Linked DNA regions of Elephas maximus indicus. The protein of the gene in region 3 purifies or fractionates together with the protein of the main gene of each other region. This does not show direct contact. Links are inferred from orthologs where the notes say so. Each region holds a gene or a part of one and is shown on either strand. Other genes may lie near its edges. The genes, in order: PPP2R2C, PPP2R1A, SERTAD4 and PPP2R2D.

Evidence for each region.
Region 1: the proteins of SERTAD4 (region 3) and PPP2R2C purify together in Homo sapiens (affinity purification with mass spectrometry; 3 studies listed by BioGRID and IntAct, counting the BioPlex papers as one, with this or other methods). This does not show direct contact. The link is inferred for Elephas maximus indicus from reciprocal best matches to the Homo sapiens genes SERTAD4 and PPP2R2C.
Region 2: the proteins of SERTAD4 (region 3) and PPP2R1A purify together in Homo sapiens (affinity purification with mass spectrometry; 3 studies listed by BioGRID and IntAct, counting the BioPlex papers as one, with this or other methods). This does not show direct contact. The link is inferred for Elephas maximus indicus from reciprocal best matches to the Homo sapiens genes SERTAD4 and PPP2R1A.
Region 4: the proteins of SERTAD4 (region 3) and PPP2R2D purify together in Homo sapiens (affinity purification with mass spectrometry; 3 studies listed by BioGRID and IntAct, counting the BioPlex papers as one, with this or other methods). This does not show direct contact. The link is inferred for Elephas maximus indicus from reciprocal best matches to the Homo sapiens genes SERTAD4 and PPP2R2D.

The regions. Positions count from the first base shown.
Region 1 is NC_064823.1:165,453,968-165,461,583, reverse strand, and holds the start of PPP2R2C (protein phosphatase 2, regulatory subunit B, gamma), read right to left. Parts: upstream 3,012-7,616; 5' UTR 2,891-3,011; coding exon 2,821-2,890; exon of another isoform or gene 2,773-2,820; coding exon of another isoform or gene 2,745-2,772; intron 1-2,744. UniProt on the Homo sapiens protein: The B regulatory subunit might modulate substrate selectivity and catalytic activity, and might also direct the localization of the catalytic enzyme to a particular subcellular compartment.
Region 2 is NC_064829.1:94,755,204-94,763,136, forward strand, and holds the start of PPP2R1A (serine/threonine-protein phosphatase 2A 65 kDa regulatory subunit A alpha isoform), read right to left. Parts: upstream 3,015-7,933; 5' UTR 2,935-3,014; coding exon 2,857-2,934; intron 1-2,856. UniProt on the Homo sapiens protein: The PR65 subunit of protein phosphatase 2A serves as a scaffolding molecule to coordinate the assembly of the catalytic subunit and a variable regulatory B subunit.
Region 3 is NC_064836.1:21,604,308-21,611,704, reverse strand, and holds the start of SERTAD4 (SERTA domain-containing protein 4), read right to left. Parts: upstream 3,003-7,397; 5' UTR 2,656-3,002; intron 1-2,655.
Region 4 is NC_064834.1:81,628,257-81,635,199, reverse strand, and holds the start of PPP2R2D (serine/threonine-protein phosphatase 2A 55 kDa regulatory subunit B delta isoform), read right to left. Parts: upstream 3,016-6,943; 5' UTR 2,857-3,015; coding exon 2,850-2,856; intron 2,777-2,849; coding exon 2,684-2,776; intron 1-2,683. UniProt on the Homo sapiens protein: Substrate-recognition subunit of protein phosphatase 2A (PP2A) that plays a key role in cell cycle by controlling mitosis entry and exit. Involved in chromosome clustering during late mitosis by mediating dephosphorylation of MKI67.

The DNA.
Region 1 (7,616 bases), on a different chromosome or scaffold from region 3:
CTGCCATGAGTGTGACTAATTCACACTAAAGTATGAATGACTAACAAAGCCTAAATTTTCTCAAGGTATTTGGGACTTTACAAGAAGGGACTCAGTGACTCAAGTAGGGCTCCCACTAGCGAAGATGACACTTGACTTGGGACCCAAAGGATGAGAAGGAGTCAGCCCTGAGAAGAGCAGGGGGTGGGTGTTCTGGGCAGACGAGCAGCCAGAGCAAACACCCTGGAGCAAGAAAGAAAATGGCCGGTTCAAGGGACCGGAAGTAAATCAGAGCGACTGGGGCGCAACGAGCGCTTGTGGATCCACAACCCGGCAGACGAGGAGTCTGCACACCTGGGTCTTTTGCCAAGTGAGTCTCGGCACGCACTATTTGCCCACAAAGGTCTTCCAGAAACAAAAGTTTCCAATTCTAACAGTGCCATTTATTAAACAGGCCAAGACCCTGCTGGGTGCTTTCTACACATGATGACCACTGACCACGCCAACCACCCTGTAAGAGAGGTCTTTGTTAGCTCCGCTTTATGAAGGGAGAGAGCGAAGCTCAGAAAGGGCTAGTGACCTGCCAAAGCTGCACAGCAGGTGAGGCGTCAGAAGCAGGATTTTAAGGCAAGTCTGTCTGACATCCAAACCTGTGACCCACTCTATGCTCTGGGCATAAGATGCAGCCAGGGATGCAAGTGTGTCAAGTCCATTTTCATTTAGAGAGCCCAGAATTCTGGGATATTTCTAATAACTGTTGTCATTGTGTCTTCTACTAGACTGTGTTCTCCTGGAGGGCAGGACTTCTGACCTGGCTCGTCTCTGAGTCCTGAGCACCTCAGCCCTATTCCTCACACGCACTTGCCCTTAGGCTGGGGCCTGGACAAAGGCCAAGCCTGTTTCTTCATCTGTAAAATGGGGATGAGGTGGAGGTGAGATCATGTGTGAGGCCCCAGCACTGACACGTGGGCCGCCCACTAACATCTTACAGTGCCTTCACACAGGGTCTCACCCCATCCTCACAGGAAACCCAAGACCCTGTAGGCAAGTTTCCCCACTTCACAGATGGGAAAACCGAGACTTGGAGAGAAGGGATTCGCTGCTAGAACACAGGCTGCACAAGGGCAGAGGCCTCTGTCCAGCCCCCAGGGCTAAAGCAGGGGGTGCTCAGTAAGTGTTTGTTGAATGGATGCTCGAATGATGACGGATTAAAAGTCACCGCCTCTTACTCCTGCAACTGCCGGCTTCCCCCGCTCTCCCCTGCTAAAAGCTGGTGAATTTCTGAAAGATAATTGGCAAGGGGTGGGAGGAAGGAATTAACCTTTGTAAAAGTCCACTATGGGGCAGGAGCACTGCTTTTCGGTTTGGACCAACCACATGCCCTGGGCTTCTGTGCCCTTGTCCCCATAGCACAGGTGAGAAAACAGACGCTTCCCTCTGACAGGCTGGCCGGATAGCGGGGGAGGAGCTGACCCGCCAAGACGCCCGCCCCTCGGCCAGGGCCAGGCCCAGGGGCGCCTGCCAGCACCTCTGAGGCCCCTGACCCCCAGGCGCTCCCTAGGACACACGCTGAGGCCGGCGTCAAGGCTCGCTGTCAGCTCCGGGTCCGAAGCTTCCCGCAGCCCCGGCGCCCCGCCCCGCCCCATCCCACTGGGAAGCGTGACTCAGCGGTTCTCGCCGCGGACGCGAGGCCTCTGCATCCTCCGCCCAGGCGCCCAGGTGGACACCTGGCTGCGCTCCAGGCCGCCGAGCCACCGCCGCCACACGCCTGGCCGGAGGGGCCGCCAGCCCCCGCGCGCTCCTGGCCCAGCTTGGCCTCATTTCCGGCGGAGCCAGTGTCGGGCGGTGGACACGACTGCGGATCCTGTCACCGCCGCGGGCCCACCCTGCTTCGCGGCCACGGCCACCTCCGCACCCCCCACAGGACGCGATGCCCGGGGACTCGGTGCCCCCAGGGCCCCCACCCTGCCCACCGGGGCACCCACGGGTTTCCTTGCTAAAAGCCCATAGCCCCTCCTTGGCCGGTCCGGCAGCCCCTGGGAAAGATGCTGATGGTCCCCGCGCCGAGGAAGGCCTCGGACAAGTGTCCCCGCCGCAGCACGCTGACTCCCAATGTGTTCATCTCCCCCTCCTAGATGGGCTGGGAGCTCTCCCCACTGTCCCCTGGGCAAGGTCAGCACAGAGCATCCCTGGAAGTTCCTGGCCTGTAAAGAGGGCGCCGAGCCTGGAGACGCCACCAGCCCGATGGAGGTGCGAGCTGAGCTGTGAGGGCCCGTTTCGGGTGACCTGTCCCACTTTTCGGGAAATCCTGACAGTTTGGGGCAAGCTTCCCCGTCTCAGTATAAACCACAGGAATAAAACACCAGCCCGGAACCAGCGGCCTCTCCCTCCTACGAAGGGACCCTGCCTCTGGGGACACGCGGCAGCCGAGCCCGGGAGGATGGGCAGATGGGTTTTTCCCGGGTCCCTCTTCGTCTCCCGGGAGTGGGTAGCCTAGAAAATTCTGCGGGCTCTGGGCAGGGCCGAAACCAGGCCCAGGCTCTGAGGACACAGCCTTTCCCTGGATATCTCCATAGACCCGCCCCGGTGGCCTTTTTAAACACGACGGCGGGCCGGGGGCGCAAGCCACTTCCCGCGGCGCCTCCCGGAGGGCGGCTCGGAGGAGGGGGCGCTGGCTCCCTCCCGGCCCCGCAAGGGGTGGGGTGGGGTGGGGTGGGGTGGGGTGGGGTGGAGCGGTGGACAAACACACAGCGCGCGGTCCAAACCTTCAGAGGGCATCGGGTGCGACGGCATCCCCACGCCGCGGGCGGCCGGAGGGGGTCTCAGACACACGTACGTTACCTTCGGTCACATAGCTGTGGTCCCGCAGGAAGCTGTGGTTAATTTTCCGTGCGTCCGTGTCCTCGCCCATTGAAGGCCGTGCCCGGTGCCCTGGGCATGCCCCGCCGCCGCGCTCCGATGCAATCCGCAGGGGTGGCGCCGGGCGCGCGGGCCATGCCGCTGCACCTAGCCGGGGCGCGGGCCGCGGGGGCGGCGCGGGGCGGGCATGGCGGCCGGCGGTCAGGCGGGCGCGCCGGGGCTCGCGCGGGCCGGGGCCGGGGGCTGGGCGCGCATCCCGGGGCCGTGCGCGCTCAGCGTCTTGCGCCCGCGGCGGCGGCGGCGGCGGCGGCGGCGGCGGCGGCGGGCGGGGAGGGAACGCGCGCGGCGCTGCGCCACCGAGCCGGGGCCGAGCCGGGTGCGCGGGCGGGCCGCCGCCGCTGCTGTCGCCGTCGCAGGCCCCTCCTTTGCGCCGCCCCCTGCGCCCCGGCCCACGAGCGCCCTGCGGGAGGAGCCGCGCCGGGCGGAGCTCGGGCCTCGGGAGTGCGGCGCGGCGCCTGGGATGGCACTGTGCGCGCGGGGAAGGCGGGAGGAGGCGGCCGGGGCTGGTCCTCTCGGGGCGTGGGGCCCCCTTGGGTGCCAGGTGCTCTGAGATGGAAGAGGCGGCCTGCGGGGGCGGGGGATGAGAGGGGCGGACAGCTTCGCCGGCAGAGGGCAGAGACCCTACAGGACGCGCAGGAAGTGGGGGGCGCAGCAATGAAATTATAAAAAAAAAAAAAAAAAAAAGCCGGAGGTGGCACCTCCCCCGCAGAATGGGAGACCGCGGAGGCAGGGAGACGAGGAATGGGACTAGGCCCTTTCGTTGTCCGGTGGGACAGCAGGTGGAACACGTTGCGTCCCACGAGTTCTGGGGCCCTGTGCACAAAACGGGGTCCCCTTGAAGAAGCTGAGGGAGGGGCAGTCTGCACCCAACAGGCCAAAACTTTGGAAGACACGGCTGGGGGGTGTTGGCTCCCCCAGCCGGAGCAGTACCTCTCCTCAGGCTCCACCCGGACTCTGGTGAGATAAAGGGGCAGAGCCAGCTGGGCCCTGTAGTCCCCGGTGCCCACCCCCAGCCCTGACACAGTGCGGGGCACACGGTGGGCCCTCCGACATACCTGTCCCTTCTTCCGAGCAGACCCTTTACTGCACGGGATCCAGCGTTCAGGGGTGGGGGCCAGGGACAGGGATCACCAGGCCCTCCAGGGGCTCAGTGAGTCTCTGCAGAAAGGGAGGGGGAGGGAGGTATAGATCCCCTTCAGGGCATGAATGCTGGGGAGAATCCAGATTGGCTGGAGGCCTGGGCGGGGGTGTGAAGCTGGCTTCGCTCAGGTCCCCAATTCTGAGAGTTCTCCACTCCTCTCTCCACTGGTTTCTCGGGGACTCCAGCCAGCTCCCCAAACCAGCTGCCTTGGGGGTCCAGAGGGGGTCAGCACAGGGAGGGAACGGCTGTGAGAAAGAAGTGGAGATGCCATCTTAGGCTTCTTGCTGGAGTGGGAGGGTTGTCTCCACTGGAGCTGGGCTTTCATTCCAAGGAAGGGCTCAGAATGGACCCCCCCCAGAGGCTCCGGGCCAACTCTCCCACCGGTGCCACCTCGCCCACCTCATAGCTCAGGGATGCAGAGTCAGTGCGAGGACCAAATGAAGCGTCCTCTGGTGCAGTATCCAGCCCCAGCACCTGCCCTTTGGGTCTTGCCAGGCCCTTGGGTCCTGCTTGGCCCAAGTCACCATCCAGGGGGCTGACACCTGGGGCATCTCCCCCACCCAGAAGGAACGAGGCTCGTCTTCCTCGCTCCCTATCACCCAGCCTCCTCACCTGCCCTGCACTGCATATCCAAACCCAGCACCCCATGCTCTACCCTGCCCTCTTCACTCCCCTGGCTCCACCCAGGGACACCGACAGGTAGGCTGGGCTCACCTCCTGGAGGCCAGCGAGGGCTGGGGCTACACAGTCTGGCCTGGAAGCATCTTAGCAGGGGCCTGGCCCTACTGGGCTGCCATTAGCCCTCACGATTCTGATTGTTCTGAGCACCCCCCGCCCCGGTTTCCCCAACCCTTCCTCTCTGCCCTGTCAGTTCTGCTGAGACCCCCACTCCACAGTGGCATCACCTTCACCCTCCTGGGTGCCCAGACCCAAGGAAAAACGCCTGCCCCAATCCCACCCTGCAATCACCTGCTTCCTTGGTTCGAAGCCAGGCTTCAGGCTCCAAAGCTGGAAATCTCCAAGCTCACGGGGCTCGTGGTTCCAGCCGTCTCTTGTGCCCCCGTGCCGTCTCCTTCCCCTCCCTCTAGACTTCTCCTCTCCCGGACCCCCTCATCCCCAGCCCCCACTCATAACACAGGCCTCCACACCTCTCTTGGCCAGCACCCACTGCCACACACCCATCTCTGTCTCCCATGTCCCTCTCAGTGGTGAGGGCTGTGACCAGGCACTGCCCTCCCCCCTGACACCTCACAGGACTGTCCACATCCCCAGCCTTTCCCTCTGTAGGCCCCCTACTCATTCACTCATGACAATTGTGGGAGAGCTCGACTGCGTGCAGGCTCCATCTGGCTCGGGAGAGCGGGGACAGAGCAGATGGACTCCAGCTCTCATGGGCTGACCTTCTAGGGGCCGCAGAGTCAATGCAAAATGCACACGTAACTCAGGGAGGGGGTCCTGATGAGTGCTATGAGGAAGAGAAAGCGGGGTGCAGGGACAGAGAGGGCTGGACAGCGGAGGGCGGGGCGAGTGGATGGGGGCCTCTGTAATAAGGTGGTGTGTCAGCAAGGTGCAGAGATGGGCAGGGACAAGTAACCTGCAAGGTCTCTTCCACTTCAACACCCTCCTGTCCCCGTGCCTCCGTGGGACCCTCCAACTCCGCCGTGTTGCCAGCAAAGTGCCAAAGAACACATGTCTACACTGGCCATCCCCCGCTCCCTGCTAGAGCCCTCCCAGGCAGCTCCTTACCACCACCCTGCCCTGCTCCCCGAAGAAGAAAGCCTGGCCCCACCAGCTGGATCATGTCTCCCTGCTCCTGAAACCAGTGGAGGCACTGCCAGCTTCCTCCCCTGGCTGGGCTCTCAGCGGCTCCCACCCTGCCACTGCCCCCACTTGTCCCATGGCCCTGGTGACACCACCTTCTCTTCCCCTCCTCCCCGTGGCTGCTTCTCCACTGCCCCACGAGTCCTCCCTGAAGAGCTGTTCTCAGCTTCCTTCTGTTCCCCAGTTTGTTCTAGTTGAAGTATAACACACACACAGTAAGATTACACCTCAACATAAAGAAAATAAAAATCCCACACCACTGGACCAATAAGCCACATCATGATAAATGGAGAAAAGACTGAAGTTGTCAAGGATTTCATTATACTTGGATCCACAATCAACACCCACGGAGGCAGCAGTCAAGAAATCAAAAGACACGCTGCATTGGGCAAATCTGCTGCAAAAGAGCTCTTTAAAGTGTTGGAAAGCAAAGATGTCGCTTTGAGGACTAAAGGGTGCCTGACCCAAGCCATGGTGTTTTCAATCACTTCATATGCATGTGAAAGCTGGACGATGAATAAGGAAGACTAAAGGAGAATTGACGCCTTTGAATTGTGGTGTTGGAGAAGAATATTGAATATACCATGGACTGCCAAAAGAACGAACACATCTGTCTTGGAAGTGCAGCCAGAATGCTTCTAAGAAGTCAGGACGGTGAGACTTTATCTCTTGTACTTTGGACATGTTGTCAGGAGGGATCAGTCCCTGGAGAAGGACATCATGCTTAGTAAAGTACAGGGTCAGCCGAAAAGGGGAAGACCCTCAAGGAGCTGGATTGACACAGTGGCTACAACAATGGGCTCAAGCGTAGCAACAATTGTGGGGATGGCTCAGGACTGAGCAGTGTTCCGTTCTGTGGTACACAGTGTCACCACGAGTTGGAACCGACTCGACAGCACCCAACAACAACAACATGCACAGAAAAGTGCACGACTTAAATGTTCACCTCCATGAGTCGCCGCGGAGCAGACGCTCACATGACTGCCACCCGAGTCAGGACAGGGCACTGCCAGCCTCCCGTGGCAGGCTCACTGCCTACTCCCCCACCCCGGGTCACTACCCAAAGGTGACACCACCTGGGCGTCTGATGCTGTCATGGTGCTTACTAGAGTCATAGGGTATGAATGGTTTTGTATTCTGGTTTCCATTGCTCAACAGATGCACTCGTGTTGTTGGATGTGTGTAGCTGTAATTTATTCATCGTTCACTGGTGTGTAATATCCCGTTGTGGAAATAGACTACCACCCGTTCTGCTGCTGAGGGACTGCGGGTGGTTTTCCTTTTGGCGGCTGCTGTGAACGGTGCTGCTGCGTCTCTGCACTGCCGTGCACGCACCTGGGTGAGCACACTCACAGGGGAACTACTGGTGACGGCGTGTGTCTGTTCAGCCTTGGTAACTGACGCAAGCAGCTCACCAAGCAGGGGGCATAAGCCAGGAGGGAAGAGACAGGATCTATCACTAGAGACTGCAGAGAACAGGGTCTTACCAACACCCTGACTCGGACTTCCAGCCTCCAGAACTGAGACCATGCACTTCTGTTCCTTAAAGCCCACTTTGTGGTGCTTTGTTGTGGTGGCCCCTGGAGACCAAGATAGCAGGCCTTCAAGACTTGATGCGTCTGCACGTGATGCTTCCCTATGCCATTTTTCCTCCATCTGGCTCAGCCTGCGTGTCACGATAGGGTCCCTGGTGGCACAGATGGTCTGTGCTCGACTACTAACCTAAAGGTGGGAGATTTGAATGCACCCAGCCGTG
Region 2 (7,933 bases), on a different chromosome or scaffold from region 3:
TTGAAACTGCCAGCTGCTCTGCGGGAGAAAAGATCTGGTCATCTGCTTCTATAAAGATTATAGCCTAGAAAACCCTATGGGGCAATTCTACTCTGTCACATAGGGTTGCCATGAGTCGAAATCAACTCAGTGGCACACACCGACAACCATCCACCCACTAAGTTAGGCCATTTGTTACAGCAGCAATAGAACTGGAATAAAGAAAAGAAACCTAAAAATACCAAGCTCCTTTGCGCCTCCAGGCTTTCCCAGAAGGCAGCCCCCCTCAACCTCAGTACTACAGACATTTTGGGCTGGACAGCTCTGTTGTGGAAGGCTATGCTGTGCATTGCAGGATGTTTAGCAGCATCTCTGATCTCTCCCACTAGGTGCTAGTAGGACTCCTCCAGTTGTGACAACCCAAAATGTTTCCAGGCATTGAAAAATGTCCCCTTAGGGGCAAAATCACCCTGGGTTGAGAACTATTGCCATTAAATGTCTTTTCTTGGAAGGCTCTTCACCTTCTCTTGAGCTTCACAGCCTCAGAGAGGCCTTCCTGCATCTCCTAAAATGGATCGCCCCCACCCCACTTTGTACGGATCCTGTCCTCTGCCCAGAGAGCCTCATGGCTCTTTACCTTGCCTCCATTGGGTCTTTGCTCTAATGTCTCCTCAGCAGGGCCACCTTAAGCACTCTTCTAAAAATCGCACCCCATCTCTCCTTATTTTTCTCCATGCTACTTATCCCCTTCTAACGTACTATACATTTTCCTTACTGTCTTGTTTATTGTCACTACATCTTAAGCTCTGAGAAGCTGGGAATTTTTGTGCCTTTTTCCCTGCTGTATCCCTGTGCCTAGAACAGTGCCCCGTAGAAGAGTAGAGGCCCAACAGATATTTACTAGTTCACTAACCCAACTTGTTTGTTTCCTTCCCACCACTTCTCACACGATGTTCACATGCTTCACACCTGTCTCCTGCATAGTAGCTGGTGCCACCTATATTCCCAGCACCACACTTGATACACGTTATTATTGTTGTTAGTTGCCTTGGAGTTGATTTCGACTCATGGTGACTCCACGTGTGTCAGAGTAGAACTGCTTTCAAGGCTGTGACTTTTCAGAAGCAGATTGCCAGGCCAGGTCAGGCCAGGCCTGTCTTCCAAAGCACCTGTGAGTGGGTTCATACTGTCCACCTTTTGGCTAGCAGTTGAGCGCTTTAACCATCTCCGCCACCCAGGTACTCCTATCCGATACATTAAAAAAAAAAACAAAAACCACTGCTGTGGAGTCAATTTTGACTCATAGCAACCCTGTAGGACAGAGTAGAACTGCCCCATAGGGTTTCCGAGGTTGTAATGTTTAAGGAAACAGACTGCAGTGTCTTTCTTCCGAGCCAGCACCAACCTTTCACCAACCTTTGGGTGAACAGGTGACCTGTTGCCGAGCGCTTTAACCACTGTGCCTGCCACCAAGGCTCCTTACCAGATACATGGCAAGTGTTTATCGAACAACTCAATTCATAGAACACCCCTACGAACTAGGTAATTATCCCCATTGGACAGAAGAGGAAACCAAGGCTTAGCGAGATTAACTAACTTGCTCCTGTCAGTTGGTAAGGGGGAGGAGCCAGGAATACAAGCAGAGCCTGTCTGACTCCAGAACAAGAGTCTGGAGCCTCGGAGCCTGAGCGCCGCTTTCCAAGTGGACCCCTTTCCCTCAATTTTACAAATGGGAAATTGAGGCCCAAAAGATGGGACATCTTCAATCACCACTTCCAATAATTACAGCTAACATTTATTGGGCCCTTACAATAGGCCAAGCTTTACTTGCATTATTAACTTGTTCAGTTCTCTCAACCACCCAAGGAGACCAGGACTATCATTAGGCCACGATTATGGCAAACAGAGGTTTAGAAGGGTGTGGTAATGTGCGAAGGTCACACAACTGGAGGGAAGTGGACATGGGAAGGGCACTCAGGTTACTAACCACGAAGCCGTGTTGTTAACTTGCATCAACTTTATTCTGACTCATGGCGACGCCATGTGCGCACAGTAGAACTGCTCCATAGGGTTTTCAAGGCTAAGACCTTTGGGAGGCGGATCGCCAGTCCTTTCTTCAGAGATGCCTTAACTCTTCTCAATTCCTCCCCAGACGGGCTCACGGCTCTGGGCCCCCCTATTCCCATACGCCTCGCTCATCACAAAAATATAGCACGTTTAGGAAACTGCGCATCCCCCATCCAATGGGAAAACTGGGGGGAGAAGAGAGCGGGTTTCTACAAAATTCGCTTCTAAAATTGGCTAGTTCACTCCTTAGAGGATTGTTTTTCCGTGCCCCTCCTCTTCGGGCGTCTACATCAACATTGGAAGGGGGAACGCAGGAATTGGGAAGAAAGCCTTCAGCCATCGGTACCATTTGGGTAGAGCTGATCCCCTAGCACTGCGGCCCAGATGCCCAAACCCAGGAAAGAGTAAACCTACCCGGGACCCAGCCAAACAGGAGGCCCCTCCCCCACGGAACTAGTCACGCGCCCAGCCCATCCCCAAGGGACCATTTGGGCCACAGCCAATCTCTCCCCCACCCAGGTGGCAGACCCCCCCTCCCCGCGTGGCCTTGGCCTCCCACCCCCGGAGCCGCCGCGCGCACTTGGCAGGCCTGGGACCCTTCGGCCCGCGCTCCCGCCCTCCGCTGTGTCGACACCCAATCCAGAACACTGTCTCATCGGGTTCAGGGAACCGGAGACATAAGAACTGGGCGCTGATTGGCCGGCGCCCCCTTCCGCCACTCCCAGCGAACACTGAGCCTTGTCCGCGAGGATCGCCCGCGCCCCTACGTCCCCCTTCCCGTCTTCCCCGAGTCCCCTGTAGCTTCGGGACCTGAACATCCTCGTTGCGGAGCTCGTCTATGAGCACCGCGATGGGGTACAGCGAGTCGTCGCCGTCGGCCGCCGCCATCTTCGCTCTGTCCCGTTCTTGTCAGACTGCGGCCAGCGCCGGGCTGAAACCGGGATGGGGAGGGGCGGGGCTGGGAGGAGGAGGAAAGACGGGCGTGGGGGCGCCCGAGCCACTTTACAGGGGCTGCCCTACGGTCATTGGCCGTGCTACGGCGGGCCAAGTCTGCGTCTCGTTGGTCCGGGCAAATAAAGTCCCGCCTACTGTCCATTTGCCATTGGTCGAATGGACGAGATTGGACTTGAAGAAGCCTTGGAGAGTGGGAAGGAAACGGAAGTATGCGGTATCCTAGCGACCAGGATTGTGCCCACCTACGTTGCCGCTAACAACGGCAGAGACGAACAGTTGATTCTAGCCAATGAGAGACGGGATTGGGAGGAGGCGAAGCCTGTCCTTCGGCGAGTCCGGGAGGAGGGTTCTGCGCGTGCGTCGCTAGGGATGAATTACGTCATGGGGTGACCCGGGTAGTCTGAGGGATTTGACTTGTGAGGCGGTGGCCAGGCTGGTTGGCGGCAGACTCTCTTGGACTTTTTTGCGGGAGAAGGAGGAGGGGAGAGAAAGGGTCCTTGATTTATGTCCGGGGAAACCGAAGGTCAGGGAAGGGTGGCGACCTGCCTTGCTCCCTGGATAAAACGCAAGCCTCGCGAGCTGGTATTTAAATTAAAAACTGTTGTGGTTTTGAATAGGTATTACTGTGCTTACGTTCCCCTCTCGTTTTTACCCTCCAGCAGTTCTGGAAAATTAGAGCCATCTATGCACATCTTGCACATCTTGGAGCTCTGGTAACACAGTGGTTAAGAGCTCAGGCTACTAAGCAAAAGGTTGGCAGTTCAAATCCACCTGTCGCTCCTTGGAAATCCTTTGGGGCAGTTCCACCCTGTCCTACAGAGTCACCATGAGTTGAAACTGACTAGATGGCAACGGGTTTGGTTTGGGTGCACATCTTGCTTTTCCATGCCAACAAGCCTTTGCTCGAGCTGTACTTTCTACTTGGAGTGCACTGTACATAAATGTCTTCTCTTTCCTTGGTGTCGCAAATGGTTTGTGCTCGATTACTAACCTAAAGGTTGGCACTTCAAATCCACCCAGTGGTGCCTTGGAAAAAAGTCCTGTCGATCTATTTCTGTAACGATTAAACAAACGAAAACCCATTGTGTTGCGTTGAGTTGATTCTGACTCATAGTGACCCTATAGTACAGAGTGGAGCTGCCTGATAGGGTTTCCAAGGCTCTCAGTCTTTAAAGAAGCAGATTGCCACATCTTTCTCCTGTGGAGCAGCTGGTGGGTTTGAACAGCCAAGCTTTCAGTTAACAGGCAGGCATTTAACCGCTGCGCCACCAGAGCTCCTTCTGTAAAGATTTACAAGAAAACCCTATGGAACACAGTTCTACTCTGTAACACAAGGGGTCACCAAGGGCCTTCCCTGCTTTCCCTGCCTTCAGGTTCAGTCCTCCGGCCCTCCAGAGCCAAAGAACATCCCTCTCTCAAAGTTCTCATCCCTAGAGCGAGCTGTGCCTTTGTATTGCAATCTGCCTCCTCCATAGAATGGGAGCAGGGTTTGGTCAGATTCGGATCTGTTCCCAACCTCTCTCTGAACAGCCCTGCACGTGAAATCCTGGGACCACCCTTACTGAGGGTCCTGCTGGAGGGGATAGGAAGGCCTGAAATGACCCTTCCCGCTTTATTACTCTCACTTGAAGGGCTGGGCTGAGCTAGGGCCCCTTGACAAGTATGAATATCCCAAGTATCTTTTCCAAACAGCCATGCCATGCCAGTCAGGAAACTAATCCTTGGGGAGGGGTACATATTTTAGCCCCTGCCCTTCATATACCCAGGCTTCCCCACTGAAGCCCATTGAAGCCATGGATCTTCTTACCTAAGGATGCCTGCCCTGATGTCAGACTGCTTGGGATCTTGGGCTGGGGTCCTTTTAACCTTTAGGTGCCTAGGAAAAACCTTCCTGTCCAGTCCATTCAGACTCATGGAAACCCCATATGTTACAAGTAGAACTGCTTCACGGGTTTTCAAGGCTGTAATTTTTACAGGAAGCAGATTTCCAGGCTTTCTTCTGCAGCATCACTGGGTAGGTTCAAACCTCCAACTTTTAGGTTAGTAGTTGAGCACAAACCCTTTGTGCCACACAGGGATTTTCAAAGGCCTATAACACTTTTTTTTCCCCCAGAGACAAAAAGAAGAAATTTTTGGTTCCAAAATGCCAAAACAAAGCCACAAACTTTAATAAGTATTTGAGAACTACCTATACAATTAAAATATCAATGCAATGATAATAATTGTAGTAAAATGAAGCCCTGGTGGCATAGTGGTTAAGGGCTAGGCTGGTAACCAAAAGGTTGGCAGTTCAAATCCACCAGCTGCTCCTTGGAAACCCTATGGGGTAGTTCTGCTCTGTCCTATAGGGTCAATATGAGTCAGAATCAACTCGACGGCAACAACAAAATGTACTCTATGAATTAATTCATTTAATGCTCAAAACAGATCTATGACATAAGGTGGTATCATTATCATCCAAATGAAAGGATGCTTGCAGCTGTTTCTTCTCATGACTTGTGCCACATCAGCAAATGAAGGTCCCAAAAGCTTGACTCCATTCACGTCATTAAGGTTGACTCTACTTTGAGGAGGCACCTCTTTCCCAGTCGTCTTTTGAGTGTCTTCCAACCTGAGGGGCTCATCTTCTGGCACCGTATCAGACAATGTTCCGCTGGTATTCACAAGGCTTTTTCTGGCTAATTTTTTCAAAAGCGGGCTGCCAGGTCCTTCTTCCTAGTCTGTCTTAATGTGAAAGCTCAGCTGAAACCTGTCTGCCATGGGCGATCCTGCTGGTATTTGAATACCAGTGGCACAGCTTCCAGCATTACAGCAGCACGCAAACCCCCACAGTAAGACAAAGTGACAGACCATCAGTTGCTCATATGCAAGTGCAAGTTGAAGCTGAAGAAAGCTAGAACAAGTTCACAAGAGCCAAAGTAAGACTTTGAGTATATCCCACCTGCATTTAGAGACCATCTCAAGAATAGATTTGATGCATTGAGTATAACAATGATTATAAGGATGGTGCAGGACCAGGCAGTATTTCATTCTGTGGTACACAGGGTCACTATGAGTTGGAACCAGCGCGACGGCACCTAACAACAACAACAACATTGAACTGTAATGACCGAAGACCGGACGAGTTGTGGAATGACATCAAGGAAATCATACATGAAGAAAGCAAGAAGTCATTTAAAAGACAAGAAAGTAAGAAAAGACCAAAATAGATGTCAGAAGAGACTTTGAAACTTGTACTTGAACATTGAGTAGCTAAAGCAAATGAAAGAAATGATAAGGTAAAAGAGCTGAACAGAAGTTTTCAAAGGGCGGCCCAAGAAGACAAAGTAAAGTATTATAATGACATGTTCAAAGACCTGAAGTTAGAACCAAAAGGTAAGAACACACCCAGCATTTCTCAAGCTGAGAGAACTGAAGAAAAAATTCAAGCCTCGAATTGCAATATTGAAGGATTCTACAGCGAAAATTTTAAACAGCCCAGGAAGCATCAAAAGAAGATGGAAAGAATACACAGAGTCACTGTACCAAAAAGAATTGGTCGACAGTCACACATTTCGGGAGGTAGCGTATGATCAAGAACCAATGGTACTGAAGGAAGAAGTCCAAGCTGCACTGAAGGCATTGGTGAAAAAAAGGCTCCAGGAATTGACAGAATACCAACTGAGATGTTTCACCAAATGGATGCAGCACTGAAAGTACTCACTCATCTATGCCAAGAAATTTGGAAGACAGCTACCTGGCCAATGATTGGAGGAGATTCATATTTATGCCTATTCCAAAGAAAGGTGATCCCACTGAATGTAGAAATTATCAAACCATATTCTTAATATCACACACAAGTAAAATTTTGCTAAAGATCATTCAAAAGCGGCTGCAGTAGTATATCAACAAGGAACCGCCAAAAATTCAAGCCTGATTCAGAAGAGGACCAGGGATATCATTGCTGATGTCAGATGGATCCTAGCTGAAAGCAGAGAATACAAGAAAGATGTTTTACCAGTGTTTTATTGACTATGCAAAGGCATCCCACTGTGTGGATCATAACAAATTATGGATAACACTGCGAAGAATGGGAATCCCAGAGTACTTAATTGTGCTCATGAGGAACCTGTACACAGATCAGGAAGCAGTTATTGGAACAGAACAAGGGAATACTGTGTGACTTAAGGAAAGGTGTGCATCAGGGTTGAATCCTTTCACCATATCTATTCAATCTGTGTGCTGAACAAATAATCTGGGAAGCTGGACTATATGAAGAAGAACGTGCCATCTGGATTAGAGGAAGACTCAAATTAACAACCTGCATTATGCAGATGACATGACCTTGCTTGCTGAAAGTGAAGAGGACTTGAAGCACTTACTGATGAAGATCAAAGACCACGGGCTTCAGTATGGATTACACCTCAGCGTAAAGAAAACAAAAATCCTCACAACTGGACCAATAAGCAACATCGTGGAAAGCAGAGAAAAAATTGAAGTTGTCAAGGATTTCATTTTATTTGGATCCCCAATCAACACCCATGGAAGCAGTAGTCAAGAAATCAAAAGACCTAGTGCATTGGGCTGCAAAAGACCTCTTTAAAGTGTTAAAAAGCAAAGATGTTACTTTAAGGACTAAGGTGCCCCTGAACCAAGCCATAGTGTTTTCAATCACCTCATATGCATCCAAAAGCTGGACAATGAATAAGGAAGACAAAAGAATTATTATGATGTTGGTGAAGAATATTGAATATACCATGGACTGCCAGAAGAACAAACAAATCTGTCTCAGAAGAAGTACAGCCAGAATGTTCCTTAGAAACAAGGATAATAGAGGGTTGGTGAAAAAGAGGAAGACCCTCAACAAGATCGACTGACTCAGTGGCTGCAACGATAGGCTCAAGCCTGATAGCAATTGTGAGGATGGAGCAGGACCGGGCAGTTTTTCATTCTG
Region 3 (7,397 bases):
AACTTCTATACACAAAATCTTAAACTGGAGAGTGTAAGTTCTGTAAGTGATTTATGTAAGTCTGAATAAAACATGAATGAACTGGAATTATTTGGGAGCAGGGAGATTTTGCAATTGAGTCTTACAGTGGGACATTAAATTAAGAAGGCAGGCTCAACGTTCATGAAAAATTGGAATCCAGAGTGTTAAGCACCAGTGTTTCACATGATTATTTGTATTATATGTACAGATCCAAACTATTACTCTCTGTACGATGATATTTACATTATAATTTTGCTACCGAACTCAGAAGTTCATGTCCATAAAATTATGTGCTGTTAATATTAAAAAGATCCACAAAGATGTATATTTATGGCAAAAAAAATTTTTTTAACATCAGTGGTAAGTGGATTCAAAAGGAGGGTGTTAACGTGTGTTGCGTCTATAACCTGTAACCAAACCCGTTGCCGTGGAAAGGATTCTGACTCATAGTGACCCTACAGAACACAGCAGAACTGCCCCATACGGTTTCCAAGGAGCGACTGGTGGAATTGAACTGCCGACCTTTTGGTTAGCAGCTGTAGCTCTTAACCTCTAACTCATGAGGGTTAAAAAAAAAAAAACCTAACTCTTTACGTTTAGGCTCCTGCAGGTCTATTTTATAAGCCAGATGAATGTAATGGAATGACACCTCAAGCATTCCCAGAAGAATGAGGGCTAAAATGTCAGGCTTTTCCAGCAGATATTCATAGTACAGTTACCTGGCATGTCTACATAATTTGGTTTTTTCAGATGAGTTGGGCTTATTCTTACCCCAGCCGCCATGATGATGCTAATAGAAGTGGCTGACAAACAGCACAGGGTATCCCAGATTCCTGGTCAGCTTTAGTCTAAAGGGGTTCCTGGTCATTCTTCACTCTCCCCCTACATCACTGGTAATTAGAGGACATTTTATTAAAAGCATCAGGGCAGCTGGAGTTCTGACTCCAGTAGTGAAAAGGAGAGAAGGAAAGGGTTGGTATTTCCACTTCCTTTTTGACACTCCCAGTCTTAAGTATCCTGCCCAGATGGAATCAAGCCCCTGAACTCAACCTTGTCGGTGACAAGATTTCAACAGTTTGTCCAGCTTTTGGTGGTGGTGGTGGTGGTGGTGGTGGGATGAGCAAGGGCAGTGCCGAATCCTTCAATCCTTCTAAGCTGACAGAAGCATTCTCTGCCAGTCCCAGCAGTGCACCTGTCTACCTCGGGGAGTACATTTCTCAGCTGCAGCCCCTGGAGGTCAGGAGCCTTCAGGTCGGATCCTGGGGCTGGGAATGTGGATCCAGGGTCTGAGGGGAGCTAGGGAGGCCCGGATGGCCAAACCCTGGCGCTGGCTCTCCCCAGACCAAACCTAACAGGAAAGTCCGAGGTTTGGAAGACCGACCCCTGCGGGAGGGCGGCGGCCACCTTGTCCTGCGTACCCCACAGACACACCCCCGGGGGTCGGTGCTGCAGCCCCTCACCCCTCTCCAGGGTGGGGAGCAGCGCCCGCCTGGGCGCCGTCCACAGGGGAAAGTAAACAACACCCCCAAGTGTCTGGGAACAAAGGGCAAGTTGTCTTTACGCGGTGCGGGAGCCGTGTGCCTCTTCTGAAGAATAACAGCTATTATTTTTCTTACTCTCTTTATTTTCTTTCTTTCTTCTTCCCTTTTTTTTTTTTAAGACAAGTTTTCTTCTAAGGGAAATAAACAGCAAAGGTAGAATTCCAAGGAAATGACTCACGGCGTTGGCAGGGCTCTGGCGAGGCTGGCCCGGGCCCCGCGCTCCAGTCCGCAGCAGACGCCGGCCCGGCCCTCCCTCCCTTGCCGGCCAAGTCCACTCAGAGTCCGCGGCCACGGGAGCGCCCTTCGCGCCCGGAGAACCGGGGCCCGAGGAAGCTGCCCGCGCCGCCCGCGGGCATCCGTCCTGTCCCCGCCACCCGCAGCCCCGGCCGCTCTCCCCCCATCCCCGCGGCACCGGCGGGCATTCCGGAAAGTTGCTGAGACCGAGGAGGCGGGAGGGAGGAAGGGAGGAGAGAGGCGGAGGCGTGGACCGGCGGGCAGCAGCCTCAGCCCGCCGGGGAGGTGAGCTGAGGACAGAGAAGCCGCCGCCGCCCGCAGCGCGGCTCGGCTGACGGGGAGGAAGGTGCGGGGGCGGAGGTGGCGGGGGACAGAACGTGTCAGCTTCTGCAGCGATTCCTTTTTCTTGCAAACGCGCGCTCCTGACATCGACCATCCCTCCCTCCCCACCTGCTAATCGCCGCGGCGTCCAGACCTAGGGGCATCCCGGATACGGGCCCCCGTCCGCTAGGATGGGGGACTAGGGAGACCGAGGTCCCACCAGAGGTGCGGTTTCCACCCGCCCCTAGACTCGGCTATGTCCGCGCGGGCAGCAACCGAAGCAGCCCTCAAGGCGGCGGCGACTCCTGCCCGGGAAAGGCGCCACGGCGCGCGCCGGCCCAGGGAGAAACCCAGGCCGCCCCCGGCCCCGCCCGGGCTGGTGCGAGTCCACGCGGTGTCTCCGGCGCAGCGCTGGGGGCAGGCGCGCGGGAGGCCGCGTGGATGTCGGTCGGCACGAGCCCTCACCCCGGGGACCGGCCCTCGCCCTCCGCCGCTCCGGCCTCCTGCCCCCGCGGCCCGCTCCCGGCCTGTCTCTTACCGCGGGGTCAGCGAGGAGGCGGCGGCCGCAGCGCTCCAGCTCCCGCTTGTCCGCTCTGGGCGCGGCACCAGCCGGCCGCCCGTGCGCTCGCGCCAGTCCCCGCGCGGCGGCCGGGTAAGAGGTGGCGGTTGGTGCGCCCAGGCGAGCGTCCCGGCAGGTCCCGCCGCCGCGTCTGGGGCGCCGCGCCGCCGTCGCTGCAGACGGTTACGGTAATGAGCGGCTCTGTCTAGCGAGGAGCATGTGAAACCCGTCAATCCTGTTTGCCATTTCCCCGTGGATTTCCGAGGAGAGGTTCTGCAGGATGCCCCCAGGGCGAGAGAGGGAACATGACAAGAGAGCCCGCTCTCCCTCCCTCCCTCCGCTCCCGCCGCCGCCGCCGCCGCTCCTCAGGCAGCACACCGGGCGCCTTCCCCTCACCCCCACCCCAGCCCGCCCCCTGCCTCCTTCCCGCCCTCCCTCCTCTCTCTCCTCCCCTCTCCTCCCGGTGCCCGGGGACACGCCGGCCCAGCTCCAGCCCGCAGACCAGACCCCACGCGCTCCAGGGCTCCAGCCCTAGCCCTGAAGGCTTGGCCTCAGCCAAATAATGTGTTCACTCTGCAACCTTCTGGGATGTCTTTTTTTAATTTGGTCTAGTTTTGGGCCGTGTGTGTGTGTGTGTAAAAAACTGGTGTGTGTGTGTGTGATTAAAAAAAAAACTGTGCCTTTCCCACCCTTTGCAAAAGACTTTTCTTCTCCTTCGCCACAGCAAACGGAGATGAGAAACAGATGTCTTTGCAGGACCAAACAGTTACTCTCCCCTCGCCGCCTGCCCTCGCCTGCTCCCCTCCTGAGCTGCGTTTGTATAAAGAAGCAATCTTGGTCCTGCTGCAACTTGAATTGGCAAATCTTTCTGGGTGGGGAGCCTCCAGGGAAAACCGCCCCCCCCCAAAAAAAAAGTAATAAAGGAGGTTGTCTTTTGTCAAGGGAAGTGTAATTTAAGCCCTGGGATCACATTAGTTTGCAAATAGTTATTCTCCCTTGAACTGGGCTCAACTGGGGTTTGTTTTCTGAAACATTAATTCATAACTTCTGTCTAGGGACCCCTCCATAGTCGAGATGGGTCATTTCAGGTGTAATGAATGCAGAGGCTTAGAAGGCATAAAAAAAAAAAAAAGAAGGCATAGACCTAATAAAGTCAGGGGAAGACACCTGCGCAGAAGTGTTTCAAAGACTATAATGTTTGTTTACTGCTACTATGCCAGATGTGCTAAATATAACACTTCTTTAAAACAGTGATCCTCCGACTGTGAAAAATCCAACCTCTTGCTGCCTGGCACCCTAGGAATCAAGGAGACACACAGACTGAAAACCAGGGAGGAAAGGAATGAGATCAAGGATGAGGATTAGCATCTGCAAATTGAACTCTATCTAATTTGCATGTTTATTTCTTAGAATTGTAATTAAATTTGCGTAATAAATGTTTTCCATTTCATTTGTACACTTAAAATTTGGGAGACTGACATACAGTTAAGTGAATTTTTTTTTAAAGCACGTGGTTTATTCAATAACACAGCAAACAAATATTAAACGTAATTAGAACTAATCTGTTTTGAAGTTATTTTTGTTGAACTTTGTACATTAAAGACTCTCAAAGGTTTTCTGGGTATTAGAAAGCTGAGAAAAGGCAATTATGCTGCAAACCGACTAACCCGACAGACTTTCAGAAGCATTATTTCATTTTTTCCAGAAGACATTCCAGGGTTGCATGTCTAAAATTGGGAATTGGGCATCTTGACTTTATTCTGAGCCATACTAAATTGCATTGGCCCATGCACCATGTAGGCTGATGGATTAAGAATTGCAGTGATGCCATTTTGTGCAATCAATGGGAACTCCGTGCCCTGATTTAGGGTAGAATACAATCCTCATATTGTGGGTAAGGAGGGTAAGAAAGGGCACAAGGGCATTTAAAGCAGGGCAAGTACTTGAAAACCAAAATCAGTATCTAAAACTAGTTAGTGTCTAACTCAAATAAGGAAGTAAATATTTGGGCTTAGAGGCATGGCTTATTACTGTTTTTATCTCTCTATATTAAAGTTTTATGGCATTTAAAGGACTATGGGGGACATCCCCACATACACTTACTTGGCTATGTCAAAATACATAAAACCAAAAGGAGCAAATTAAGCATAAAATTGAGAAATAAGATGAGACTAAGTAACAGCATGGGTTGCACTGGCATCTTTGCAGCTTTGGCTCTGAGAAACAAGCCTTCTGGGAAATTGCATTGCCCTTGGGTGGGAGGACTCTGCGCTTTAATGTTATACAAAATGACATCATAACACAAGTATCAAATCATTGTACTTCACAGCACCCTTGTGGATCTGAGTATGAACTTGACCCTATCCTGTTTGGATACCTTAGGTTAGCATGTTTTATTGATAGCTTTCCCTGCCCTGCTTTTAATCTCAGGCTTAATGTTTTCTGAAATTCAATGCCCAACTGTTGACATCATGAACCCGTGTCTACAAGTAGAAAAGGCAGTTAAGTTTTCACTGAATGAGAAACATCATTTAAGCATTTAAGGTGAGTTGGCAGTGGTTATGGCACAGGAAAAGAAATAACTAAATCAATAATGAAATGTTTGAAATGAGTGAATGCAATTTATAATGAAGTTACGATATCCAACCTGAGAACTATGAGGTCATTACCTTGGGATATGTTTGCATATGTGTGTGTAGGAAGTTCTGAGATAGAAGTTTGATTATAAAACTTAAAATAACTTGATCTGCAGATTCACGGAAGGTAGTGATTGTTTTTCTTCAGTGAACAGAGTGCCAGACTTAAAACTGCTGAAATACATTTTGCAAAAATGTTTTATCATTGGAAAGGGGCATTTAACAAGAAAAATTTTACGTAAGCAGACTGATGAGGACATGATGCCCATTTGGATTAATGAAAAGCCTGAATTTCTAGCTTTTTATTTGAAAATGTGCAACCTCTTTACAGCAAAAAGAGTCATCTATACTCAATCTCTCTTATTCCTCTTCTCCCCATTCTCGGACCCTCTCCATTTAGGCTTTCATCCACCACTCCATCGAACCTGCCATTGTCAATGTCACCAATGATCTCAATTTTGCTAAATTCAAAGGTCATTTATTGGTTCTCATCTTACTTGACCTGTAAGCAACATTTGATCCAGTTGATCATTCCAGTCAAAACAGTGAACTCAAGCATACCATTGATCCTGAAGATGGTGCAGGACCAGGCAATGTTTTGTTCTGTTATATATAGGGTCACCATCATAGCTGATTCAGTGGCAACTAACAACAACCTACCTATCCCATTGCCACTGAGTCAATTCCGACTCATAGCAACACTATAGGACGGAGTAGAACAGCCCCTTAGGGCTTCCAAGGCTGTGATCTTTACAGAAGCAGACTGCCACATCTTTCTCCTGTGGAGCAGCTAGTGGGTTCAAACTGCTGACCTTTCAGCTAGCAGCCAAGGGGTTTAACCACTATGCCACCAGGGATCCCTAACAACAACGAACTCCTTGAAACACCTTTTACTCTTGTTTCCAGGCCAGCATACCTACCTGGGTTGCCTCCCACCTTACTGGTTGTTCCTGCTCAGTCTCCTTTGCTGGTTCCTCCTCTTCTCTGGAACCTCTTAATGCTGGCATGCCTCCAGCTCAGACCTTGAACCTTGCCTCTTCTTTATAGAATGCTGATACCCATTCTTATGGCTTCGAACACCATCTATATGTTGCTGACTCGCAATTTGTATGTCTAGCCCAGACCTCTCTCTGGATCTCCAGGCTCCTCTGGGATGTCTAATAGGTATCACAAGTTTCACAGACCTAAAATTGAACTCCTGACTACCTATGTCTCCTTCCACCCCCAGCCTGTGCTTTAATATTCTCCATCCCAGTCAATCAACCACACTATTTTACTAGTTCCCCAGGAAAAAAAAACACCTTGAGTTATGCTCAACCCTCTCTCTCTCTCTCTCTTTTTCTTCTTCACACCCTGCATCTAATACATCAGAAAATCCTAAAGTCTCTACCTTTAAAAATTTTCCAGAACCTGTTCACCTCTTCACATCTCTACTACCACCCTGGTCTAAGTCACTATCACCATCCCTTGCCTGGATTATGATAAGAGCTTCCGAACTGAGCTCCCTGCTTCAGCTTTTGGCCTCCTCTACACTTCAATCTCAGGCACCCCTGGGGGGTGTAACTGGTTAAAAACCAAAAAAACCAAACCCACTACTGTCGAGTTGATTCCAACTCATAGCAACCCTATAGGGCAGAGTAGAACTGTCCTGTAGAGTTTCCAAGGAGCGCCCGACAGATTTGAACTGCCGACCTTTTGGTTAGCAGCTGTAGCACTTAACCACGACACGACCAGGGTTTCCGTAACTGGTTAAGCACTCAAGAAATGTTGGCTGTTGGAACCCCTTCAGAGGTGCCTCAGTGAAAGGCCCAAAGGGTCACAGCTTTGAAAACCCTGGGGAGCTCAGTTTTGTCCTACATACATTGGGTCACCACGAGCTGGAATCTATTAGGTGCCAACTAACAACAACAACCTTAAGTCTACAGTTTATGTGTTTATGTTACTTACCATTTATCTTCTCCCTCTTGAAAGTAAGAGCCACAAGGGAAGGGATTTTTGTCTTTTTTATTCATCTCTGTATCCCCAGCACCTAGCACAGCGCCTGGTACTCTGAAAGCATTCAATAAATATGTGTTGATTGATCAG
Region 4 (6,943 bases), on a different chromosome or scaffold from region 3:
TACAATCTTCAAAGTTCAGAGTGCCTACTTTTAACCCTCCTTCCCCCAACCCCTCTACCTCTGCAGATACCACCCTCACTGAAGTGAGGTGAGGTCTCTAGCTTCAATTTCTAATGCCCTTTCTTATCACCCATCCCAAAGGAATGCAGAAACATGGTCTAAAGCGTAGGGTTAAGGCTGACTCACGGTAAAGCTCAGGCCAAAATAAAGCCTTCGCAGGCACGCCTCAGAGCCATGCATTCGTTCAGATTTCAGCGCACCCCAAGTCCTCCGGTCAAAGCTTAGTCCCTCTCACGAACTACCTACCCATTCCCTAGTAACTCTCTGAGCATCAAAATGTCTTCATTAAGGTTGAGTTTGGGCCAGAAATTCTTCTGCAAAGCATTCTGCCAGCTTCTTTTTACATGTTGCTTAAAAATTACCAGTTGCTAAAGATTGCATTTTCCTTAGTTACTGTCAAACTCTACGTTAATGATGCAATTCAAATTCATATCACAACTATGTGACAAAGTAAAGAACACCTAAAAATGTGTTAACCCTGCCAAGTGACTAACCCCTTGAGTGGGTTAAAAGAGAAAGTTGCGATACACACACTATCAGCGCAAAGCAGTCACCAAAATGATGGCAACTCCAAAACGTGAAACTTCTAGATGAGCTCAAATTTCTGCTCAAAACCGGGGTTTAAGGCTGCAAAAACTTCTAATCAGTTTAATTCTGAGAACAAAACCTTTCTGTCCCCATTCTTGTAAGAGAAAGAATGCCATCTTCAAAGTATCAAGTCACACTTAAAATATACCATTTCAGTTATATTTAAATTTCTATTCATTTAACTTGGCAATAAAAACTTCTAGAAAAAAGAAAGAAACCAGAAACTAAGACAGGCCTTAAGCTCTGCCACCAAACAAACATTTTCTGCTTTCCTCTCGATAGAAATCACCACTTCACCTGGGTAAAGGTGAACTGTTCCCTACTTGGGACATAAATCAAACAACAAAAGTAACATATTTTAGATTGATCCAAAGGAAACAGAATCAACGTGCTTGTTTATGCTTATTTACACTATATAAAATCATCAAGCTACAACCAAAAACCATACACGACTTCACAAATTTCTTAGAGTACAACTGCACTTCCCTAATCTGGGCACTGTCTGTCCCATGGGCCAAGGCTCGCAGATGTCCCCAAGGGTCATGCATCAAAGGAGACACTGCCAGGAAGAAGCACAGGGAGCAGGCAGAGGGAGTAAAGGGCACAGGAAGAGCCAAGGTTACTTGGGGCAGGGAAGATGAACTTGGTGCAAAGCATCAGCCAATGACAATTCACTCTTGAAAAGTGAAAGGCTCACAATGTTCAGTAAGATGGCTGAACAACAAAAAAAGTTTATTATTCTAAACCTAAAATGTTAAACTTCTCAGTCTCTAAAAATCATTTTTACACTCAATTTTTCCCTTTAAGATGACATGTGGCTTCATGGGAAGCTGAGAGAGGCAGGGTACACCCTACGGAGTTTCCCACCCAGTCCTGAAACTCTAAGCCTTAGCCCACTTGAGACTATTGTGAAAAAACCACCAGCCAATTTAATGCAATGCCATAAGGTTCGAGATTAAAACCTAAAAGGGAAAAAGAAACAGACATCAAGATTGGTGGTAGAATTCAATAATTTTAGAACCCTAGAAGGCAGTCTTAAGAATCCAGTAGACCAACTCTCTTCTTAGAGAGGAAGAAACTGAGCCAAAAAAAAGAGAGAGATTAAAGACTGCGCTGGGGTCTAGAGAACCGTGGGCCCCGTCCCTAATCCTCAAGTACAGTCACCCCGATTTTAAGTATCCTGAGTCCCCAACTTCTGCAGTTATTTTCTTAGTTCCACCAAATACAGGAGGCGGGGGCCACTTCCATTGGGAAGAACCCAGAACTGGGCTCAAAATACCCCCGTTCTCATCCAGTCTCCGCCACTCCCCCGGTCTGTGACCTTAGGCTACTTACATAACCCCTCTCAGCCAATATCCCATTAAAAATGACACATCCGTGAGCGCACCAAGAAACCATCACGTACAGAACAGCGCCCCACTGCAGCCGTCCCCACGGGGCGACTCCTCAGGCCACCATGGCCACCAGGCAGAGGGGAGCGTGGTCCCGGGGAGCGGGGCGAGTGCCGGCTTGTCCCTCTCAGACCTGAACCCGGGCCCGTCCCCCCGCGTCTGCGCCCCCCAGCCCGTGCCCCAGGCCTGTACCCGCACGTCTGCGCCCCTCGACCTGTGCCCCGGGCCCGTCCCCCGCGGCTCTGTCGCCCCTCGACCTGTGCCCCGGGCCCGTCCCCCGCGGCTCTGTCGCCCCTCGACCTGTGCCCCGGGCCCGTCCCCCGCGGCTCTATCGCCCCCCCCGGTCTGGCCCCTCCAGGCTTGCCGTCCCCCTCTCCGGCCTGAGCCCCAGCCTGTACCTGGGCCGCCCTCCGAGGCCCGCGAGCGCCGGGGGCCCGGGAAGTGCTCGGGCCGGTCCCTCTCGGGGCCCGAGGTGCGGCCGCGGCCGGAGGCGCGCACAGTGACCCGGACCCGGGTTGCAGGGCCCGGCGCGATTCCGCTCGGGCGGCACTGCACCAGCGGGACCGCGCGGAGGCCGAGGCGGGGCCGCGCGCCGGGACGTGCCCGTCACGCCAGGAGCTGCGCTCGGGCCGGCCGAGCCTTACCTTCCGCCACATCCTCGTCGATGGCCCCCTTCACCTGCGAGAAGCACCACTGGAAGTCGCCGCCGCCCGCGGGGCAGCCGCCGCCCCCGGCTCCTGCAAACACACGAGGGGCATCAGGCCCGGCCCCCGCCCCCGCCCGTCCCGCCCCCGGCGCGCGGCCCCTCACCTGCCATCGCCGAGGCGGCCGGCGCTGAGGCGGCGGCGGGCGGACGATGCCGCGCCGACTGCGCGCACGGAACGAGCAGCCGCCGCGCTACCGCCTCCCGAGAACCTCAGCCCGGCAGTCGCCTCCGCCAGTGATTTTTTTTTTTCCCTTTTCAAAATGGCGCCCAATGCCCGTCGCCCCGCTCGATGACGTCATCCCTCCACCTCCAGTGAGAGGGGCCGGGGCCGGGGGCGGGGCCTGTCCCGGGAGGGCGGGGCGAGGCTGGCGTGCGGCCCGGGGGCTGTCGGCGACGCGCCCCGCGTGGACTGCGCCTGCGCGAGACGCCGTCGCGCGCCCGGAGCCGCTCCCCGCCCCATGACCCGCGGTCGGGAGGAGACGGTTTAGGGACGCAGGAGGAGCGCCGGGCCGGCGGGTGTCCGGAGCTCCTTGGAAGAACACTTGCGGGGCCGCTCTCAGGGAGGGTGTAGAGGGCTCGAAGCGGCGACCCCGAAGCACCCAGTGGACAGGCTTCGAAAGCAGGGTGGACACTCGACTTCCAGTGCTGACTCAGCCTCGCTCTCAGGCGTGCCCCACCGCCAGTCTGAGCCCCGCCCCTCGGACCTCGACCAATTGGAGCACCGCCCTTTTGCGAGCCCTGCCGCGGAGCAGCCAATGGGGGCGCGCTCGGCGCAGGGCTGTCTGGGGGTGGGTGGGCGTGGCCTCCGGGCAGGGGTGGGCGAGGCCTGAGTGCTGCTCTGGCCCGCCCCTTGGAGCCTCGGCCAATGGAAGGAGCCAACAGGGGCGCACTAGGCACGGCGATGTCCGGACGGGTGGGGCTTCCCGGCCCGCGCGGCGAGTCCGCAGGTTCGCGGCCAGAACCCCGTGCCGAGTTCGCCTGTGTCTGTGAAGTCGGCGGCTCAGGGATTCTTGGAGCTACCTAGGGAGACACTTTGATGAAAACCTTTGGTTTGAAATACAACGTGGCTGGCCTCTTCTTCGTTTGTGGGTTTGTTTTCTCTGGTATCCGAGAGATTACCCATTCATTTATGGGTTTCACCGGTATCTGAGTCCTAACTCGTATCAGTGATGTTGCAGAGTTGGCGGTGGTCGCATTGCACAGTTAGAAGACAATGCTCCAAATCAGGAGAAACAAGGACCTAGAGTCTCCGTTCACTGAAGGAACGGTTATTGATGGCCACGCCCTGCTCCAGCTGCCAGGGTGCGGCGGGGGCAGAGAGTCTGACCTCCCCAGCTTATATTTCAGACAGGGATTCCGGCGACAACAAGAGCAAGTTATGTAATAAGTCACATGGTGCTAGATAGAAAAATAAGGTAGAGATCGGGCAAAGGGCGTATATTTGGGGTGTGTGTGGGGAGAACTTGCAATTTTAAACTGAATGATGAGGAGGACCATGAGGGGTTGAGGGAGCCAGCCGTGCAATATCTGGGAAAGGTTGTGCCAGGAGGTGGAAACAGCGGGTGCAATGGCCCTGGGGCAGCGTGCATCTGGCAACAAGCAAGGAGCAGCAAGGCAGGAGGCCGGGGGTGGGGGAGCAAAGTGGGTGAAGGGAGACGAGGTAGACGTGAAGACAGGGAGGTAAGGCGAGGAGAATGGAGGGTGTGCCCATGTGGGCCCATTCAAGGATTCTGATGGGTGGGGGACCCTATGGGGGTGATGAGGAGGGGAGGGTGGTGACCGATGGGGCTGTAACAGGCCACTGTGGCTGCCGTGCTGAGAACAGAAGGAGGGACTCCAGGGCCAAGGCAAGGAGACCCGTGAGGGACCACTGCCGGGTCCAGGCAAGGTGATGAGGGGTGTGGACGTGGGTGTGAAGTGAGAACGGTGAGAACGGTTGGATTTCAGAGCCGCAGTGTTGCCAAGGCAGGGCTTTGGGTGGGCGTGCAGGTGGGATGGATGTAGAGGAAGAAGGGACCGAGGGACCACTGCACTCCTGGGGTCTGCAGCCCTAGCTCGAGGAGGGAAGGACCACAGAAGGAGCAGTGTGGCAGTACAGGCCCAGGGGTGGCCATCAGCTGAGGGAGTGGTGGCAAAGGCAGCTAGACATCCGAGCCGGGATCACAGGGAGGTTGGGGCTGGAGTGTGAACTCAGGGTCAGCAGCATCTTGAGGCTGGAATGGTGAGATCACCAGGAACGGGGGTGGATGGGGAAGAGAACCGAGGTCAGAGTCCGGAAGGGTGTGGGAACAGAGAATGGAGGACAGAGGAGCAGCCTTCCTGGAGCTGGGCGGGGAGCCAGGGACGGGATGGGAGCTGTGGCTCTCCAGTGCTGCAGGCGGGTGGCATCAGACAGGCTGCAGGGTGGACCTTAGCTTCCCCGGTAGGAGCCCAGAAGCCCAGAGCAGCTGCCGGGGGGGGGGGGGCGGTGGTGGGGGCAGTGAGCACCACAGCCCTTCGGGAACCTTGTCAGGAGAAGCAGAGACAAGGCGCCATAATCTCCCCTTTTTATGTGCAGATTTGTCCAGCCTGACGGTGACCGCAACTGAAACGTTGGCCAGCTATCAGACTGTCTTCTGTGTAATTGCTTTGTGTATGGAAGGAGTCCCTGGGTGGTGCAAAGGGCCAACGCATTCACTTGTAATCAAACGGTTGGAGGTTCCAGTCCACCCAGAGGTGCCTCGGGAGAAAGATCAGGGGATCTACTTGCAAAAAATCGGCCACTGAAAACCCTGTGGAGCACAGTTCTACTCTGACACGCGTGGGTCACCGTGGGCCGGAGTGGACGCCACGGTAACTGGTTTACTATTTTTTGTTCCGTTTTACCATTATGTGTGGAAAGATAAGTCTTTTCAAATGATGGCAAGATAACTTGGTTCAGATGTGTTCTTTCACGTATTGGCTACCATTAAATTACATTAAAAGACAAGGTGTGGTCCACAGAAGTAGCATATTCCTGACAATAGTGAGCTGTCTTCCTTGGGACCCACCCTGCGTCAGCTGGCCTGCAAGAAGTTTTAACTCTTCTTTTCTGTGATAATAAAGAGCTTTAAATATCTCTGTGAATTTCACTGTTTGCATTCTAATTGGTGTTGACAAGTCTTGGGTATTGCAAGACAGTTTTCTTTTTCCTTATCATAATTTTTAGAGCTCATCGCGAGTTGTGAAGTGTCTGGTGTGTATTAGAGTCTAGTGTACTGTACTCACACAACGGAATACTATTTAGTAACGAAAAAGAACAAATTACTCCTAAGAGCGACAGGGGCGAATCTCAGAAATACAATGCTGAACAAAAGGAACTAGACACAAAAGAGTACGTGCTGTAAATGGTGATTCCGACCACGGCCACCCCGTGCGTGCAGGGTAGAACTGCTCCATAGAGTTTTCTAGGATGTGACCTTTTGGAAACAGATCACCAGGCCTGTCTTCTGAGGTGCCTCTGGGTGGGTGCAAACTGCCAATATCTCAGTTAGTCATCGAGCGTTTGACCGTTTGTGTCACCCATCCGGCGACTCCTTCCTCTCCATGATGTCACCAGGAGTCAGAATCTACTAGATGAAAAAAAATTATTTTTTAAACAGTCTGACTGCTGAGCCTCCGTTTAGATCGCTTATAATATGGAGACAGGAAAAAACATGGTTGTGGGAGGAGGCTGATTGTGAAAGAGCAAGAGATACCCTTCTGGAGCCAGGGGGATGTTGTATGTCTTCACTGGAGCCAGGGGGATGTTGTATGTCTTCACTGGAGCCAGGGGGATGTTGTATGTCTTCACTGGAGCCAGGGGGATGTTGTATGTCTTCACTGGAGCCAGGGGAATGTTGTATGTCTTCACTGGAGCCAGGGGAATGTTGTATGTCTTCACTGGAGCCAGGGGAATGTTGTATGTCTTCACTGGAGCCAGGGGAATGTTGTATGTCTTCACTGGAGCCAGGGGGATGTTGTATGTCTTCACTGGAGCCAGGGGGATGTTGTATGTCTTCACTGGAGCCAGGGGGATGTTGTATGTCTTCACTGGAGCCAGGGGAATGTTGTATGTCTTCACTGGAGCCAGGGGGATGTTGTATGTCTTCACTGGAGCCAGGGGAATGTTGTATGTCTTCACTGGAGCCAGGGGGATGTTGTATGTCTTCACTGGAGCCAGGGGAATGTTGTATGTCTT